Tribolium castaneum: one gene and its partner. The protein of the gene in region 1 binds, or shares a complex with, the protein of each later gene. Links are inferred from orthologs where the notes say so. Each region holds a gene or a part of one and is shown in the gene's direction. Other genes may lie near its edges.

The links.
Region 2: CSN7 (region 1) and CSN4 share a complex: the UniProt entries of both Drosophila melanogaster proteins name them as parts of the CSN complex. The link is inferred for Tribolium castaneum from reciprocal best matches to the Drosophila melanogaster genes CSN7 and CSN4.

Annotation. Positions count from the first base shown.
Region 1 is NC_087395.1:496,545-504,458, forward strand, and holds CSN7 (COP9 signalosome complex subunit 7b), read left to right. Parts: upstream 1-2,486; 5' UTR 2,487-2,583; coding exon 2,584-2,748; intron 2,749-2,796; coding exon 2,797-2,961; intron 2,962-4,879; coding exon 4,880-5,188; intron 5,189-5,244; coding exon 5,245-5,415; 3' UTR 5,416-5,522; downstream 5,523-7,914. Other genes in the region: IQ domain-containing protein E-like, read right to left, coding at 1-256, 2,015-2,176, 2,224-2,238. UniProt on the Drosophila melanogaster protein: Component of the COP9 signalosome complex (CSN), a complex involved in various cellular and developmental processes.
Region 2 is NC_087399.1:5,885,340-5,893,315, forward strand, and holds the start of CSN4 (COP9 signalosome complex subunit 4), read left to right. Parts: upstream 1-3,797; 5' UTR 3,798-3,815; coding exon 3,816-3,898; intron 3,899-3,950; exon of another isoform or gene 3,951-4,127; coding exon of another isoform or gene 4,128-4,613; intron 4,614-5,355; coding exon of another isoform or gene 5,356-5,518; intron 5,519-5,565; coding exon of another isoform or gene 5,566-5,839; intron 5,840-5,891; coding exon of another isoform or gene 5,892-5,931; exon of another isoform or gene 5,932-6,046; intron 6,047-6,171; exon of another isoform or gene 6,172-6,311; coding exon of another isoform or gene 6,312-6,394; intron 6,395-6,440; coding exon 6,441-6,520; intron 6,521-6,569; coding exon 6,570-7,273; intron 7,274-7,976. Other genes in the region: flr (actin-interacting protein 1), read left to right, coding at 1-263, 502-786, 841-1,311, 1,947-2,180, 2,322-2,472, 2,521-2,630; longitudinals lacking protein, isoforms H/M/V, read right to left, coding at 2,879-3,165, 3,212-3,311, 3,389-3,562, 3,618-3,797; sds22 (protein phosphatase 1 regulatory subunit 7), read right to left, coding at 4,128-4,613, 5,356-5,518, 5,566-5,839, 5,892-5,931. UniProt on the Drosophila melanogaster protein: Component of the COP9 signalosome complex (CSN), a complex involved in various cellular and developmental processes.

The DNA of each region.
Region 1 (7,914 bases):
TAACATTTTTCAAAGTAGGGACTTTAATTTGAATTTGTCCAATTTCATTGTCCCAGTTTAAATCATCCGAATATTTATTCTGGAATTGTTTTTGGAGAGGTTGGGAATATAATTTGGCTGCACCAAGTTGATTTTGCAAACGTCGTATGATGATGTCTTTTTCATGAAGTATTTGTAAAAGTTCGTCATTTTTTTCTTTCATATTTAAGACAAAGGAGGCGCTCCGTTCGTACAGAATTTTAGAGACTTCTATGGGCTACAATAAAAAAAAATGTTTTTTTTTTAAATTCGATAGATAATAACAAAATCAAACGTCTATGCTGCAATTAATTTAATAGTAAGATAAATGACACCAAAAATTTTACACAAAATAAAATAAAATAAACAACTTTTACCTAAAAATAACGTTAAAACAGAGTTTTTTTATTAACTGTTGGAGTAATTTCTTATTAAAAAGTGTTATAAAAGTTAAAAAAAAGATTTTGATAAGACAAACATTTTTTGTTACAATCAGGTGATTTATCAATAAGATGAATTTATTTGAAAATGAAAATAAAAATTAAATACAAGATTTTTATCATTTTTTGTATAAGATAGTCAAGTTTTTAACTGTTTTTTTATCCAAATTAATTTATAAATCAGATTGTTTTTGTTTAACACTGGAAATTTAACAAAATAAAAATAAGGACTTTTTAACAAATCTTAAGAAAGTAAATGAGATTTTAAAGCTCGGTATGATCAGTAAGATTGTTTTTTTGGCACCAAAAATTAAAAAGAAAATACAATGAAATATAAAATTAAAGAATTATTTAACATTTTTTGTTCAAAGATAATAATCATACTTTTGATTTATGAGTTAGATCGATTATTCTTTGACACTGAAAATTAAAAAAGAAAGAAAAATAAAAAATAAGAATAAGGAATTTTTGTTCAAAGACAATCAAACTATTATGCTCGGTTTTGCTCTAATTACTTTTTGAGTTAGACTGTTTTTTTAACAAAAATAAAAAAATACATATACATATGAATATGTTTTTTTTTAACAATTGTTGCCTGAAAATGATAAAATTTTTCCGATTGTATTTTTGTTACTACAATGAATTTATCAGTAAAATAGATTTTTTTGACGAAAAAAAAATAAGTAAAATAAAAATAGAAATTTTTAAAACTTCTTTCCTTAAGACAATAAAATTTTTAAGTGTGATTTTATTACTACAATTAATTTATTAGTAAGACTTATCTTTTTTGATCCTAAAAATAAAAAAGAAAGAATAAAAATAAAGAATTCTTAACAGTTTTTATATCTTATATAATTATACTTTTTTAAGCTTAGTTTTTGTTCCAATTGATCGTCTTTTTTAGATACCGAAAATTAAAAAGAAAATCAAAATAAAAAATTAAATAAGAATTTTTAACAATTATTGCCAAAAAAAAATAATTTTAACGTTCGTTTTTTATAACCACAATTAGTTATCTGTAAGACAGCAAAATTAAAACAAAAGTAAAAAATAATTATGTGGAATTTTTTACAATTTTTAAGCTGGGCTTTTGTTACTTCAATTAATTTATTAGTATATTTAATATAACTGTTTTTTTTGGCTCCGAGAATTAAAAAAATAAAAATAAGGAATCTTTGACATTTCTTACCTAAGGATGGTTAAATTTTAAAGCTCGGTTTTTATTTACTATTTAATTTATCGGTATGATTTATTTGTTGCCTTATTTGACTATACTTATTTGAATAAATTTGTACAAGTTTTATAGACGCCAATTTGTTGTAATTTTAGCAAAACTTTTTATACATAAACCTAATAATAACAGCTAAATTTAATTGTTTTACCTTCAATTACTAAGAAAATCATTTATTTATTGTCATATAAGGATAAAATTACAAACAAATAGTGTCAATGATGTTTTGTGAAAAACTTAAAAGAAATAAAAGAACAAATTCTCCGAAAGAAAGCGAAACACTAAAATTGTTTAAAAACTTGAAACTTTTAATAGAGTTTTTTACCTTTTTTGGATCCAATATAGCATCAATTTGTTTATCCTTTTTAATAATTTCATTCTGCAATTTGCGTATTTTCACCTTTAGCATACGATTTTCGGTGCTAATGTTGGATAAATTTTTCTTCAGATGAAAAATTTCAGTCCGCAAATCTCCATCATCTTGTAACTAATAATACAAAGTATAAATAAACTAAAGTATAAATATTTTATTACCTCATTTCGAAACATTGTAGCCGAAGACGAAGTTACGTTTGTTTTGTTTGTAATTTAAGTATTGATCAAACAAATTTTACAATGTAATTAGCAACGGATTGCAGCAAACACAAACATAAATATAGCCGGGTTAAAAATATTATATAATTAAAACTATTGTATCTATTTTCTACTATTTCTTACTTTCTTTAATCAATGTTGTTAAATTTTAAACAAATTTAAATTTACCGCTTTATGTCAAAAGCTGCGCAGGCGCAATTATGTTTCTTTGACATTTGACAGCAGCGTGTGACAGCTGATCGGTTGTTGTGTTTAAAAAGTGCTTCAAAAACAACAAATTAACTAATAAAAACTAAAAAAATGGTTATTGAAAAAAATCCTTTCCCTGGCAATGCCTTGGAACAATTTGTTTTATTGTCAAAGTCAACAAAAGGGGCTGCTTGTTCCGAACTGATCAAGCAAGTGTTGGAAGCCCCCGGTGTTTACGTTTTTGGTGAATTACTTCACATGCAAAACATTGAAGAGGTAATCAAACATATTTTTACATTTATACATTAACTAAGTGTTTTGTAGTTGAGTAATACACCACAGAAAAATTTCTACAACACTCTCAACTTGTTTGCTTACGGAACCTACAAGGATTATCTAGCAAATAAGAAGGATTTAATTGAATTAAGCCCAGCTCAGAAGAAAAAGCTTCAACATTTAACCATTGTTACGTTGGCCACCAAATCAAAGGTAGTTAAAGTAATTCCACTTTAGTGAAATTAAGTTTTTAATATGGATAACTATAGATTAGGAAACGACACGACCTACAAATAAAAAGTCCTCGTTCTCGATAGTTTCGATAGTGTTGTGTAGATGGCGGAGCACATTATTGTATTAAAATTTATCAATGGTTTTAATAGCAGTTAGCACATGGTATCCAAAAAAAGCATGTTAATGCAGCTTTTGGCTATCATTTTTTATTAAAAAAAATACAAGTTATTGCAATTTGCGAATGTTTCGGCATAAAAATGTCATCAGCTCTTAATGATTTTGTTTAATCTAGTTTGTTTAAAAACAAAAAAATTGTTGGCGTTCTTTCCAAAGCACTCTTTGTAAAAATGCTTTTTTCTCCATTTTGATGAGCATTTAAGATTCGATTATATCATGTGATACATAGATGTAATCGGAAATGAAAACACTTCAAAAATACAAAAAGCAAATATGGCTTCCATAAGAAAAAACAAAATTTAGTGTTGTAACACTGACATCAAGAACGCCTTGGAAAATGGGACGACAGATTTAGATTTCTTGTAAAAATGTACCTAAAGAACGTTCTAGTTAAAAACGTCTAGTTCTTTTGGTTTTCACTCGAAAAAAATTAAAACCCAAATTTTAACCACCTCGTATCTCGTATAATAACTGAGATTCCCATGGTGGAGCTGAAAAAACGGCCACCCAGTACATTGTTTTGACTACTATAACAATCTAAAGATAATCGAGTATATTCCTAAAATTCATAAAAGGGACATAAATTTGTACCATGTTACATGTTCAAGTTAACAAAAAAAACAAATATAAAAAAATTAAAAAAAGATTTTTTAACCATTTTTGCCTAGCGATAATCAAACTTTTCTGCTCGGTTTTTGTTACTACAATGAATTTATCAGTATCTAATACGAGTGATTTTTTTGAAAGTGAAAACAAAAAAATTAAAAACATTTTAAGCTTCTTTTTGATCCAAAAACTAGAAATTTTTACCGTACTTTATAATAAATCTTCTAAAAAGTCTGCAATTTTTTTTTATTTTTTGTCAAAAATAATTAAACTATCGACAAATTTACGTCATTTTCAAGCATTTTTGCACAAAAACTATTCAGTTCAAAATTGTACTATTTTTTAACTTTGTAAAAAAGTTGCATTGCATTTTTCTCTACAACTTTTTTTTAATAGAACGACTCTATTTTCTTAACGGCAATGGAAAGAATATCGATATTTATGGTGACTTTTATCAATACGTCCTATACCAATCTCTTACAGTTTTTGAAAAAAATCACAAAAAACGGATTTTACTTGGTAGTTTTCATAGTTAATCAAGTATACCTTGCAAAATGGTCAACAATTATCAAACTTCAATTTTTTATTTAGTTTTTAGCTGTTTCATTATCGAATAATCAGTAAAATAATCACATTTAATTATAGTTTATTATAAGTTAGTGAATTATGTAAAGTAACTCAGTCAGTTTGCCATTGATCCTTGAACTTCTTGAATGAAAATGGTAAATAAATAGGACATTTCTTTTTGTTAACAGTACAATTTTATCGTATTTTTCAAAAGTTTACTTGATTAAAAATGAAAATAATGAGCTAAAATTCTGTTTTTTGCGATTATTTCAAATACTGTAAGAAATAGATATATAGAAGATGTTATTAAAAGTATGCATAAAAATTGATGTTCTTTTGATTGCTATTTAAAAAACTGGGTAATTCCATTTGAAAAACTGTTTTATAATCATTTTTTAATCATCATTTTCAACAAATCATACCTCTAGCTATGTTAGAAGTTAAAGTTTCTAATGTAGGCTCTAAAAGAATCAGCCTATCTACTAATTTAACAAAATTTGATTGATTTTTCTTAGAGCAAGTAATAATAAAAACAATGTTTTTTTAGTGTATTCCGTACAACACCCTTCTGGAAGAGCTAGGCATAACAAATGTTCGTGATTTGGAGGACTTAATAATTGAGGCGATTTACGCTGACATTATTCATGGAAAATTGGACCAGAAAAATAGTCAATTGGAGGTTGATTATGCCATAGGTCGTGATATTCGTCCTGAAGACATTAATGTAATTGTGAATTGTCTCCAAGACTGGTGTTCGGCCTGTGAAGGTGTTTTGGCTTGTGTTGAAACACAAATACATAGAGCAAATAATGAAAAAAATAAATCAATGTTGAGAAAAGCTGAAGTGGAGCAAGAGGTATTTTTTTCGAGTTTGTATCATTACTTTGTTTTAGATATGCATTTTTTTTGTAGATTAGTAACATTAAAAAGACTCTGAAAACTCAATTACAAGAACGCTCTGATGGAACTGACGAGGCTATGGCTACTGATAACAGGGAAGCTGCAGCAATTAGCGAAAAAGGAAAAAAGTCAACTAAAATCAAAGGTATAAGGCATAGCAGTAAGTTTTGGCTTAAATCTTAATAATTTTTTTCTAATATATTAACATGTAACAATTTTAATGAGATCGTAAGTGTTATTTAATTATTGTTTGTACCTTTGGTACAAAATAAAATCTCTGTGAAATTCTAGCAGTTTAATATAGATAACCCATCCAAAATCCTTTGTAATAATAATGAGTTTGGGTTCGTTTTTTTTTAATTTTGAAACGTGTGTAATGTTTTTGTGGAAGTTAAAATGGAACATTGTATTTTCTAGGATTAAAACTTCTTCGTTAGTGATGTCTTCCAAGTTGGGATCACACCGCCAGTTGGTACACAAATAATGTTTAATTGCTGATTTTCTTGTAAATTTGTATTTGTGGTTAATAAAAAATTTTTTCTTACCTTACTGTTTTTTTTTAAACCTTACATCTAAAATATTGGGAGATCTAATAACGATATTCTTTTGAGAATTTGAATGCAGCTGTAACCCGTTATGTTTTAATCAAGATGGCGGCTTTCCCGGCTATATTGTGAATTACTCGAGTTATAAAAGGAAGTTTTCAAAACACATGGCTTACTGCTTAAAATAAAAAATATATCCAGAAGTGCCTCCATCTTGAAAATATGGCTGTGTACCAGGTTTTTTGACTGGTAATGATTTCAAAAATAAAAACAAAGAGCTTAAAATTTATTATAATTTTTTTTTCGAGATTTACTGCTGATTTATAAAAGTTTAAATAAAGGTGACACAAACTTAATAATAACCCGTCTTTATTAGAGTTGTAAATACCAAAGCCAGTAGATATACTAAAGTAGCGACACGGACCTTGACAGGGCAACAATAACGATTATACACTCTAGAGAAGGCGCTACTATCGAATTTAAAATTATACTTTTGAAGTCCGTCAAAACTGTCAAGATTTCTTCACCTTTGCGAAATTAGAAAATCAACACAGTGAGAGCATTGATCATCTGTGGATTCACTCGACTTGATACTTTTTACATGCATTGATAGCCCGAAATCTTCAAACCGGTACTTAAATCACGTAAATAATAATTAAATCGATATCAAAAGCAGTATGCAATACAGTTGTGCATTCTACAGAAGAACCATTTAGATTGTCCAAAATGTATATTTTGAAATAAAAGACGGTTTTCATTAAGAAAAGTTTAATACAGCAACTCTCATACCGACACTTTTGCTTGAACATTTGAGAGAAGTTGCGGGTTTCTCAATAGTGTACTCATTTTTTAGGCAAATGTAAATTCTGGATTTAAAAAATAAACTAATAACACGTTTTAAAATAAAACGACAATTTGGAACGTTGTAATTTTTCAAATTAAGGAATTGTGACATCAAATTTTCTAATTTTATGGAACCTGCTATTAACTGCCTAACATTTTGCCTAAAAAATATTTCGGCGTCCAAAATTACAAAATAAATTTCTCTTGAAGGATAAATTAGTAATCCTTCCTTATAAGATTTCAAGTTGACCAACGTGTTTAAATTTTGTATTTCGGCACTGTTAGTAACTGTTATGAAACCAAAACATCTTTCACAATAAATGTAATTTACTTTAATTTTTTTAATAATTGAACCTAATAAATAATATAATGCATGTTGCTCTTCACAATTTAAATTTTGGGTAACAACATTGCTAAACTGGCTGTCAGAAGTAATGGTTTCAAAATCATTATCATTATCATTGTCATTATGTGTTTGATCATTTAAAATGTCGACTAAAGGAATTTCGTCAGATGCATTATAATTTCCATATTTTGTATGAGCCAAATATTGAGAAACCGAAACCAATCTAAGTGCGGTTTTAAACTTCTTCGCATTAGGAACCGGGTTGCGGGACCTAATGGTTGAAAATAAATTTTCGAGGGCGTCTTGTGTAAATCTACTTAATAATAAATAATTAAAATTTTGGTAACACAAAAATTTTTCTTGCAAGTCTATAACACTTTGCGTAGTCAACGTAATTCCCGTTTGTATGGGTTTCCAATACCCTCTTGTTCCTACGTAGAGGTGGTTAGTGACATGGATAACTTCGTTCAAGAAGTCCAATGTTTGGAGATATTCGTCACTGTTCCGTTTACTTAATCCATCTTTGATATACCTTGAACTCATTATACTAAACCACTTGTGTATTATCTCTATAAACCAAGATGTAGTGGAATGTTCTTGACTAATTTTACCTCTTGATATATAGTATTTAATGGCGGCCAAAGTATCGTGGTTTAATATAGCCATTGCGCCCTGTACCTTCATTTTGTCAAAATGATTTGGGTCTAAATACTTTTCTTTCAGGTAAGGTGCAATTTTTATTTCAACTTTTTTTTCTTCTTCCACTACGGCTTTGACACTTTCAATTGTAATTTTGTTGTTCGTTAATTTATATTCCTTGACAATCTCTTCACTGACAAGAATTTCGTTTTTATCCGTGAGCGTTGTTCTAATATTTTTTAACAGATGAGTAACATCTGGCATAAAATAGATTTTATCGTTATCGTTCATGCAAAAATTTTGAAAATT
Region 2 (7,976 bases), on another chromosome or scaffold:
ACCCAATCGGGGGGCCCATCAAAGATATCGCTTGGTCCCCTGATAACCAACGAATGGTCGTGGTTGGCGAAGGCCGCGAACGCTTCGGTCATGTTTTCATGTCCGAAACGGGAACTTCCGTTGGCGAAATCTCAGGCCAATCAAAACCCATCAATTCCTGCGATTTCAAACCCACGAGACCTTTCAGAATCATCACGGGGTCTGAAGACAACACCATTGCGGTTTTCGAGGGGCCCCCGTTTAAGTTCAAAATGACCAAGCAGGTAAGGAGGCCACGACTCGTGTCGCCAACCCACAAAATTAAATACACTAGCTTTGAACTGACAAACCAACACCACTTTTAACGCAATTTCACATTTTTTTGACCCAATTTACCTTTTTTTTTATTGCGTGATAATCGAAATGTCCTTGACGAAAACTAATTTGGGGGGAAATACCTGTTCATAAAGTAACCATAGGTGGCTATGATTTTGGTCAACGTCACGTGATTGTTTTTTACAGGAGCACAGCAGGTTTGTGCAAGCCGTTCGTTATTCACCCACCGGTAATTTATTTGCCTCGGCTGGGTTCGATGGTAAGGTGTTTCTGTACGATGGTACGTCCTCCGATTTGGTGGGGGAAGTGGGAAGCCCCGCCCACAGCGGGGGCGTGTATGGGGTTAGTTGGAGTCCCGACGGTAAACAATTGCTAACAGCCAGTGGGGACAAAACTGCGAAATTGTGGGACGTGGAAACGAGACAAGTCGTCTCTGAATTCGTCCTAGGTTCGACAGTTGAAGATCAACAAGTGGGTTAAGCCACGCCCACTAACGTCCTCTTTTAAGTATATAATATTTTATAGGTTTCGTGTTTATGGCAAAACGAATACTTGCTCACGGTTTCTTTGAGTGGTTTTATTAATTATTTGGATATTAATGACCCAACGAAGCCGCTCCGGGTTGTTAAAGGGCACAATAAACCCATCACTGTCTTAGAATTGAGCGAAGATCGTGGTACGATCTTTACCGGGTCGCATGATGGTAATGTGACTCGATGGAACGCCGAAACTGGGGAGAACGATCGGGTTGAGGGCGTGGGTCATGGTAACCAGATCAATGGGATGAGGGTACATGGTGGTACTTTGTACACTTGTGGTATTGATGACTCTTTAAAACAAATCGACATTGAGGGCAACACGTACAAAGGGCAAGATTTGAAGTTGGGGTCGCAACCTCGCGGAATGGACATTTTAAAAGAGCAAAATGTGGTGGTCACAGCGAGTGTTAACGAAATCACCGTCTCGCAAGATAACAGGAAAGCAAGCACTTTGAAGGTTTGAAACAGTCAATTTCGAGCAGTGGTCTATGGCTTTAAAATTAAGTTGGCAAACTTGACTATCAAATGTCCCCAACACCAACAATTCAATATTTCCAACTTCATTTCAGTCAGAGATCAATGAGAAATTCAGTAAAGTGACAAGTTTCATAATTAGTTAAACAGCGAACTGTCATTTATACAAATAATAACTGTTAAAATTTTCAGTTTATCAAATTTACAATAGGATGTCTCACCTAAGACTTTCAAGCCCGATATTTCAGTTATTTGTCAACGGATTCTTATGAAATTTAAAAATCAGATATTTTAGAAGGTAAAGATTAGATATAATCCAACTCAATTCTTAAAAACGTCATTTTTACAAGCCTTCTTAAAATGTTAAATCATTTAAACTTGTACTAAAAAATATTTTTTTTGTGTGGCCACCTATTTTTCAAGATTTAATCATCTGATAATAGAAATTGGGCTTAATTTTAAATAAAAGAATTTTTTAACTTAATTTTTTAGCTCCTAATTGAAAAGCTCGAAAGTGTTAGGTGAGCCACCCTGTATGAAAGTTTTGACGAGTCGCTCTTTGCTGATTTTCTTTTTTTGAAAGCATTTGTTTTATCTTATTGACGAAAACAATTGAAGGTGTCTTATGAACCGTCAAGTGTCAGCGTTTCGCCGCGGGGTCACGTGGCTGTGGGTGGTGCCATGGACAACAAGGTGCATTTATACGAACTGAAAGGCACAGAGTTGGTACCCTTGCAAGAATTGGACCATTTGGGTGCCGTAACAGACGTTGCCTACTCTCCCGATGACAAGTATCTAGTGGCCTGTGATGCCCACAGAAAAGTCGTACTGTATAGTGTTCCTGAATACAAGGTAAGTTTTTGTGCGTCTGTAGTTACCATTGATGAAATTAATTGTTGCACGCATTCGGAACAGAATGTAAGTAATAACCAAATTTTAATTGTTTGCTTTTTACACATTTTTCGCGTTTTTGATTACAATAATCGTTATTAGCTCGCCACCAATCAAGAATGGGGTTTCCACAACGCGCGTGTTAACAGCGTTGCTTGGTCGCCCGACTCTTTGCTAGTCGCTAGTGGTAGTTTGGACACGAGTATCATTATCTGGTCTGTTGAAAAGCCCGCCAAACATATTATAATCAAAAGTGAGTAGTTTGTGTTAAGTAAGGGCGGAAAATAAGGGTTGTTTTCAGACGCTCATGCTCAAAGTCAAGTCACTAGATTAGCCTGGCTTGACGACCAGACTTTGGTCTCAGTGGGGCAGGATTGCAACACGAAATTGTGGACCATCACCAAGTTCTAATAATTTTTTTAAATGGCCTTTTTGCATTTAACGTAAAGCTTTTTTATTTATTACATACAGTAGGGTGATGCAGTGGCGGGCCTAACCGACGTGTCAATTAATTTATTTCAAGTATTGATTTTCTAATAGTGTAAATATTTAAATCGAGGAGTGTTATGATGAATGAAAAATCTGCTAAATCATCCAAATACTATAATCTAAAAAGTATTATTTTTGTTTATATTGAATAAATAGCTGTCTGATAAAGTTCAAGTTATTTTTTTGCGCTTCCTGGTGTGGTACTCCTCTGGGTGTCGGTACGAGACGTGTTTTCTCAAAGCGTCCCGACTTCGTGACACGTGGGGGCAAGACTGGCAGGCATGGTAAGCCTCTTCGTGGGTCTCCATGTGCACGCGCAAATTGTACTGATTACTGAGGTATTTGCCACAAAGGAAGCACTTGCAAGTTTCAGACAAGTCTTTCGCATGTTTTTTACTCGGAAGCGAGTAACTGTCGTCTTCTTCGTCGTTGTTTTTCAGGAAAGTTTCCGCAAAATCTGTAAGAAAATTAAGAGGGGACACCAACAAGCCGTTCGAGCTTACGTTCGGTTGCTTTTTCCGAACTTTCGGTTTTGTGCGCATTGTCGGTTGAGTTTGGTCTTTTTTCGCTTGAAATGTCGTTTAGTTGGGGTTTTTCAGGTACCTAACAAAATCTAGGTTTACGTTTGGTTACATAACGGGCCACGGTGCCAATAAGTAATTAGGGCTTTGGGGACTAACCTTCATATCACATAGTCCTTGTATTTTGAGGAGCTTGGCCAGGGAGAGCAGCCCTGGCAGCTGCTCCTTGGAGACCACGCACTGCCCCCTGTATATGAACGCCAGGACGGCCTTAATGTCGCTCAGGGCGACGTTATGCAGCACAATGACCGGATGCTGCGTGTCCCTCATTTCCTACAAGTGGGCGTAATGTCGTTTAAAAATAGACGGTGATTTCGCGAAAACTCACCTGGAACAGCTGGAAAAAGTACACACTGCACATTGCTAACACCAGTTTGTGCGCCTTAACGGTGTGGGATTCGACCGAGATGGTGACATCGGTGAGAACGTCGTTTTCGAGGAACGTGGTGAGGTTTTTGAGGAGGGTGAGCTCTTGGTAGTGCCATCGCAGGACGAACTGCTCGCTCATTGTGACGCGTCAGCTTGGATGGGAAAAATCGCAGGAACTGGCCCACAAACCCAGAATTTATCCAGCTTGGCTATTTTTAAAACTACTGGAGAACAAAACAGGTGCCAGCAAATTTGCTAACCTTTCAATTTCAAACGGAAATAACACGACGGGTTTATTGTTATTTGGTTTATTTTTACGTAGCAGGGGCTTATCAAAATTAAAACCGATTTTCACAATTGGGTGATTGGTTTATAATTAGACGCCTAAAATTAATCGTTACTCATTAGCTAATCAACTCATAAATGCACAGATGGCAACGGTGGTTTCCTTAATTTACAAAACAATATTTTACAACTGACACAAAGTCGCGTCGATCTGGGTTAGAGAGGGCGCGATCATCTTCAATTTCCTCCTGTACATCGGGTCCTTCTCGAGCGGATTCCGCTCCAAGTAAACTGTAGCCAGCTTTTTGTTCTTCGATAAATTCTCGACAGTTCCCCAATCGGAAACTTCATTATCATTCATCCAAAACTCCTCCAAGTCGTTCAAATGCTCGATGTTTTCAATCAACTTTATTTTATTTTTCGCCAAATCCAAGGTCTGTAGCAACGTGTTATGCGTAAGATTTTCTATTTTATGAATTCCGTTCTCGGAAATGTACAGTTCGGTCAATTGTGTGAGCTTATCCAAATTCTCGATACGCGTTATTCGGTTGCTTTGCAGGCTCAGACACGTCACGTTGGTCAGACTGTCCAAGTTTTTTATTTTTGATATTTTATTTTTGCCCAAGTAGAGGTGGGTCAGGGCTGGCATGTTTTCCAGGTTCTCTATGTCCTGCAATTAGGACGGTTTTAGAAGTCACAGATTATGACTAACAACTGAAAACACTCAAAGGATAAACTACGAAGATCTAAAGGTTAGAATATGAAACGACGTACAAATAAAACGTTCTCGTCCTCGATAGCTCCGTTAATGTCGCCAGAGGGCGCATTTCAAAACATGGTTGTATTTTTATTACTGTTCACACATAGCAAACAAAAAAAAACAGGCAGATATAGCATTAAATTCTCAATATTCAGAGATAAACACAGTGCAAAAATTTTATCGTAAACTTTTACCAATTTTGCACTCTGTCAGATATTTTTCAAAACGCTGCGAATACGGTTACAGATACAAGAAAAATGTTAGGAAGAAAATTGTAGAGAATTAAATTTCCTACAAAAAAGTCCGCGAGACCATGTTCCTATCTTGAACCATTTAGGCCCCAAAGTCGTTCAAAGACGCTCAAGCAACGGATTTCCTTAATTTTGCCGGTGGTCAAGTATTGGAAAGTTAATTCGTACCTAAACTATTAAAGATAGAAATATGGTGTCGCGGACTTTTTTGTAGAAAATTTTATTCTCTACAACTTTGTTCCTTACACTTTTTTTGTATCTTCAACTGTATTCGCAGAGCTCGCAGAAATATAAGGTGGAACGCAAATTGATAATTCTAAGCGATAACATTTATCAAAACGCTGGGAATACGGCGCAGTTTCGTCTCCTAAGTTATTATCCTCCATAGGATAAACACTTACCCTAATTTTGTTGTCCCCCAGCTCCAGCATTGTCAGCTTCTGCAAGTGCTTCACATTTTTGATTTTGCTGATTTTGTTCGACGACAGGAAGAGTTTTTCTAAATTGTGCAAATTCTCCAGTCCCTCAATCTCCTTGATACGATTAAACGACAAATCTAGAATCCTTTTAAAGCCATATTTCGCAACATTCACAAATGAGTCACTCCTTACTCTAAATTAACCAAACATCCCAGATTTTCCATTTTGACGATTTGGTTATCGTACAATTCCAATTCGCGGAGCGTGACTAACGTGTCCAAATTCTCAATTTTGGTGATCAAATTCCACCTCAGGAAGAGGCGCTCGATTTGTGTCAAGGGCTCAAGGTTTTCGAGCTTGCTGATCCTGCCATGGTTTAGGTCCAGCTCAAGGGTGTCCGGGTCTATTACCATTATTTCGTTGACAGTGGCCCCTTTTTCCTTATTGTCGTTCGAAGTGGACGTCTCTGGGGCTAACAATGAGCATGGACTTTCGACGAAAGTAACGAATTCTCTTACCGGGCTCGGGGGAACTCTCGTTTTGTTGCGGAGAAGGCATTTTTCGCACTCACACTGGACTATTTCTGTTTATTGCAATTTAATTAAGTGACTAATTTAAAGGCGGGTGACAGCAAACATCCGTGACGTTTGAGTTTGACTTCAACACGTGCAGCCAACCTATTAAATCAAATCGTCTTCCCCTTAACCCCTTATTCACACGTTAATTAAAGTAAACTGTACTTGCAATTGGTCGCAAGTATTTATTTACAGAGCAAAGACAACAATTTACTTGCAAGTGTGTTTTTTAGACAAAATTACCACAACCGGCAATAGCGTTGTGTTGGCAATTGCTGTTTTGTCAGTCATTTGTCAAAAACTACTTTTAGTTAAATTAAAATAATTTATTATTATTTGTGGCCAAAATAGTAGCGGAGCACCATGTCGGAGAAAAGCGCGGCTATCCGCACCCAACTCTCCAACATAATCGCGTCCGGGGGCTCCCACAAAGACCAGGCCGAAAAGTGAGGTTATGTAAAAAAAATTAAAAAAAACATTAATTTTTAACAGATATCGCGGTATTCTTGAGAACATCCTCGCCGGTTCGGGCCCCGAGCTGACCGAAGGCTTGCAGATATTCATCGAAGCAAGTCCGTACCCCCCACAGCCACCAACCCAGTCTAACTCAAGTCGTTTCAGTTGTCAATGAGAACGTTAGTTTGGTCATCTCGCGCCAAATCCTGACCGAAATAAGCTCGCATTTGATGAAACTACCCGACGATGTTTCCAAAACTGTCTCACACTTTATGCTTGAGAAGGTGCAACCCCGGGTTATTTCGTTTGAGGAGCAGGTGGCAAGTATTCGCCAACATTTGGCCGATATCTACGAACGTAACCACATGTGGCGCGAGGCTGCAGCTGTCCTGGTGGGAATCCCGCTCGAAACCGGCCAGAAACAATACACCGTGGATTACAAACTTGAAACGTATTTGAAAATCGCGAGGTTGTATCTTGAGGATGACGATCCGGTCCAGGCTGAGGCTTTCATCAACCGGGCGTCGCTGCTTCAGGCCGAGTCACGGAATGAGCAGCTTCAAATTTATTACAAAGTTTGTTATGCTCGAGTTTTGGATTATCGGCGGAAGTTTATTGAGGCGGCTCAGAGATACAATGAATTGTCCTATAGGACGATTGTTCATGAAGATGAACGCATGACAGCCCTTCGGAATGCTTTAGTTTGCACTGTTTTGGCTTCAGCGGGGCAACAAAGATCGCGCATGTTGGCCACACTGTTCAAGGACGAGAGGTGCCAACAGTTGCCAGCAGTGGCGATTTTGGAAAAAATGTACCTCGAAAGAATCATCAGGAGGTCCGAATTGAGGGATTTTGAGGCCTTGTTGCAGGTACGTGTATAAAAAGTGTTGTATTGTTAGTTGCATAACTATGATAAATTTGTATTTTTTTGAGTCCTTTGTACAATTAAATACTGAAAAATTATTGACATAAAAGTATCATCTTGAATTAAATTGATTGAAACAAGTTTTAAAGAAAATCTGCAAAAGCAATAAAAATACTAATACCATTTGTTAATTTGATAATCAGTATTATTAATTATTATTAATATTATAAATAAAATTATTATTATTAATTATCACCCTTACAAACGTATAATCATAAAATGAAGATGAATGTATTCAAATACCAACACAAGTAATATCTCTCTTAAGGGACACCTCCGATAAGCGGACCCCTCTGACAAACGGGCCTTTTTTTAGATAATGTATTTTAAGCGGACGCTCCAATAAACGGACGCGCACAATGCAATTCAAATCCTTGGAAACAAAATATCTCCTTTAAGCGGACAGCACATCATACGCGCGTGTGATTAATAGTTATTATGACAATTGATCAAAAAAATCGGGGAATCACATAAGTAGGTAGTACATGTTTTATGGAAGTGTAACGTTTGTGAAAAGCGAAGCCTTTTATTTTAGTTTGTTTTTATATATAAATTGCTATTTCTTTTCCATTAAGCGGACAAAAAGCATGTCGGTGTCCGCTTATGGGAGGTTTCACTGTAACCCTAACTTTTTTCTCAGATGATTT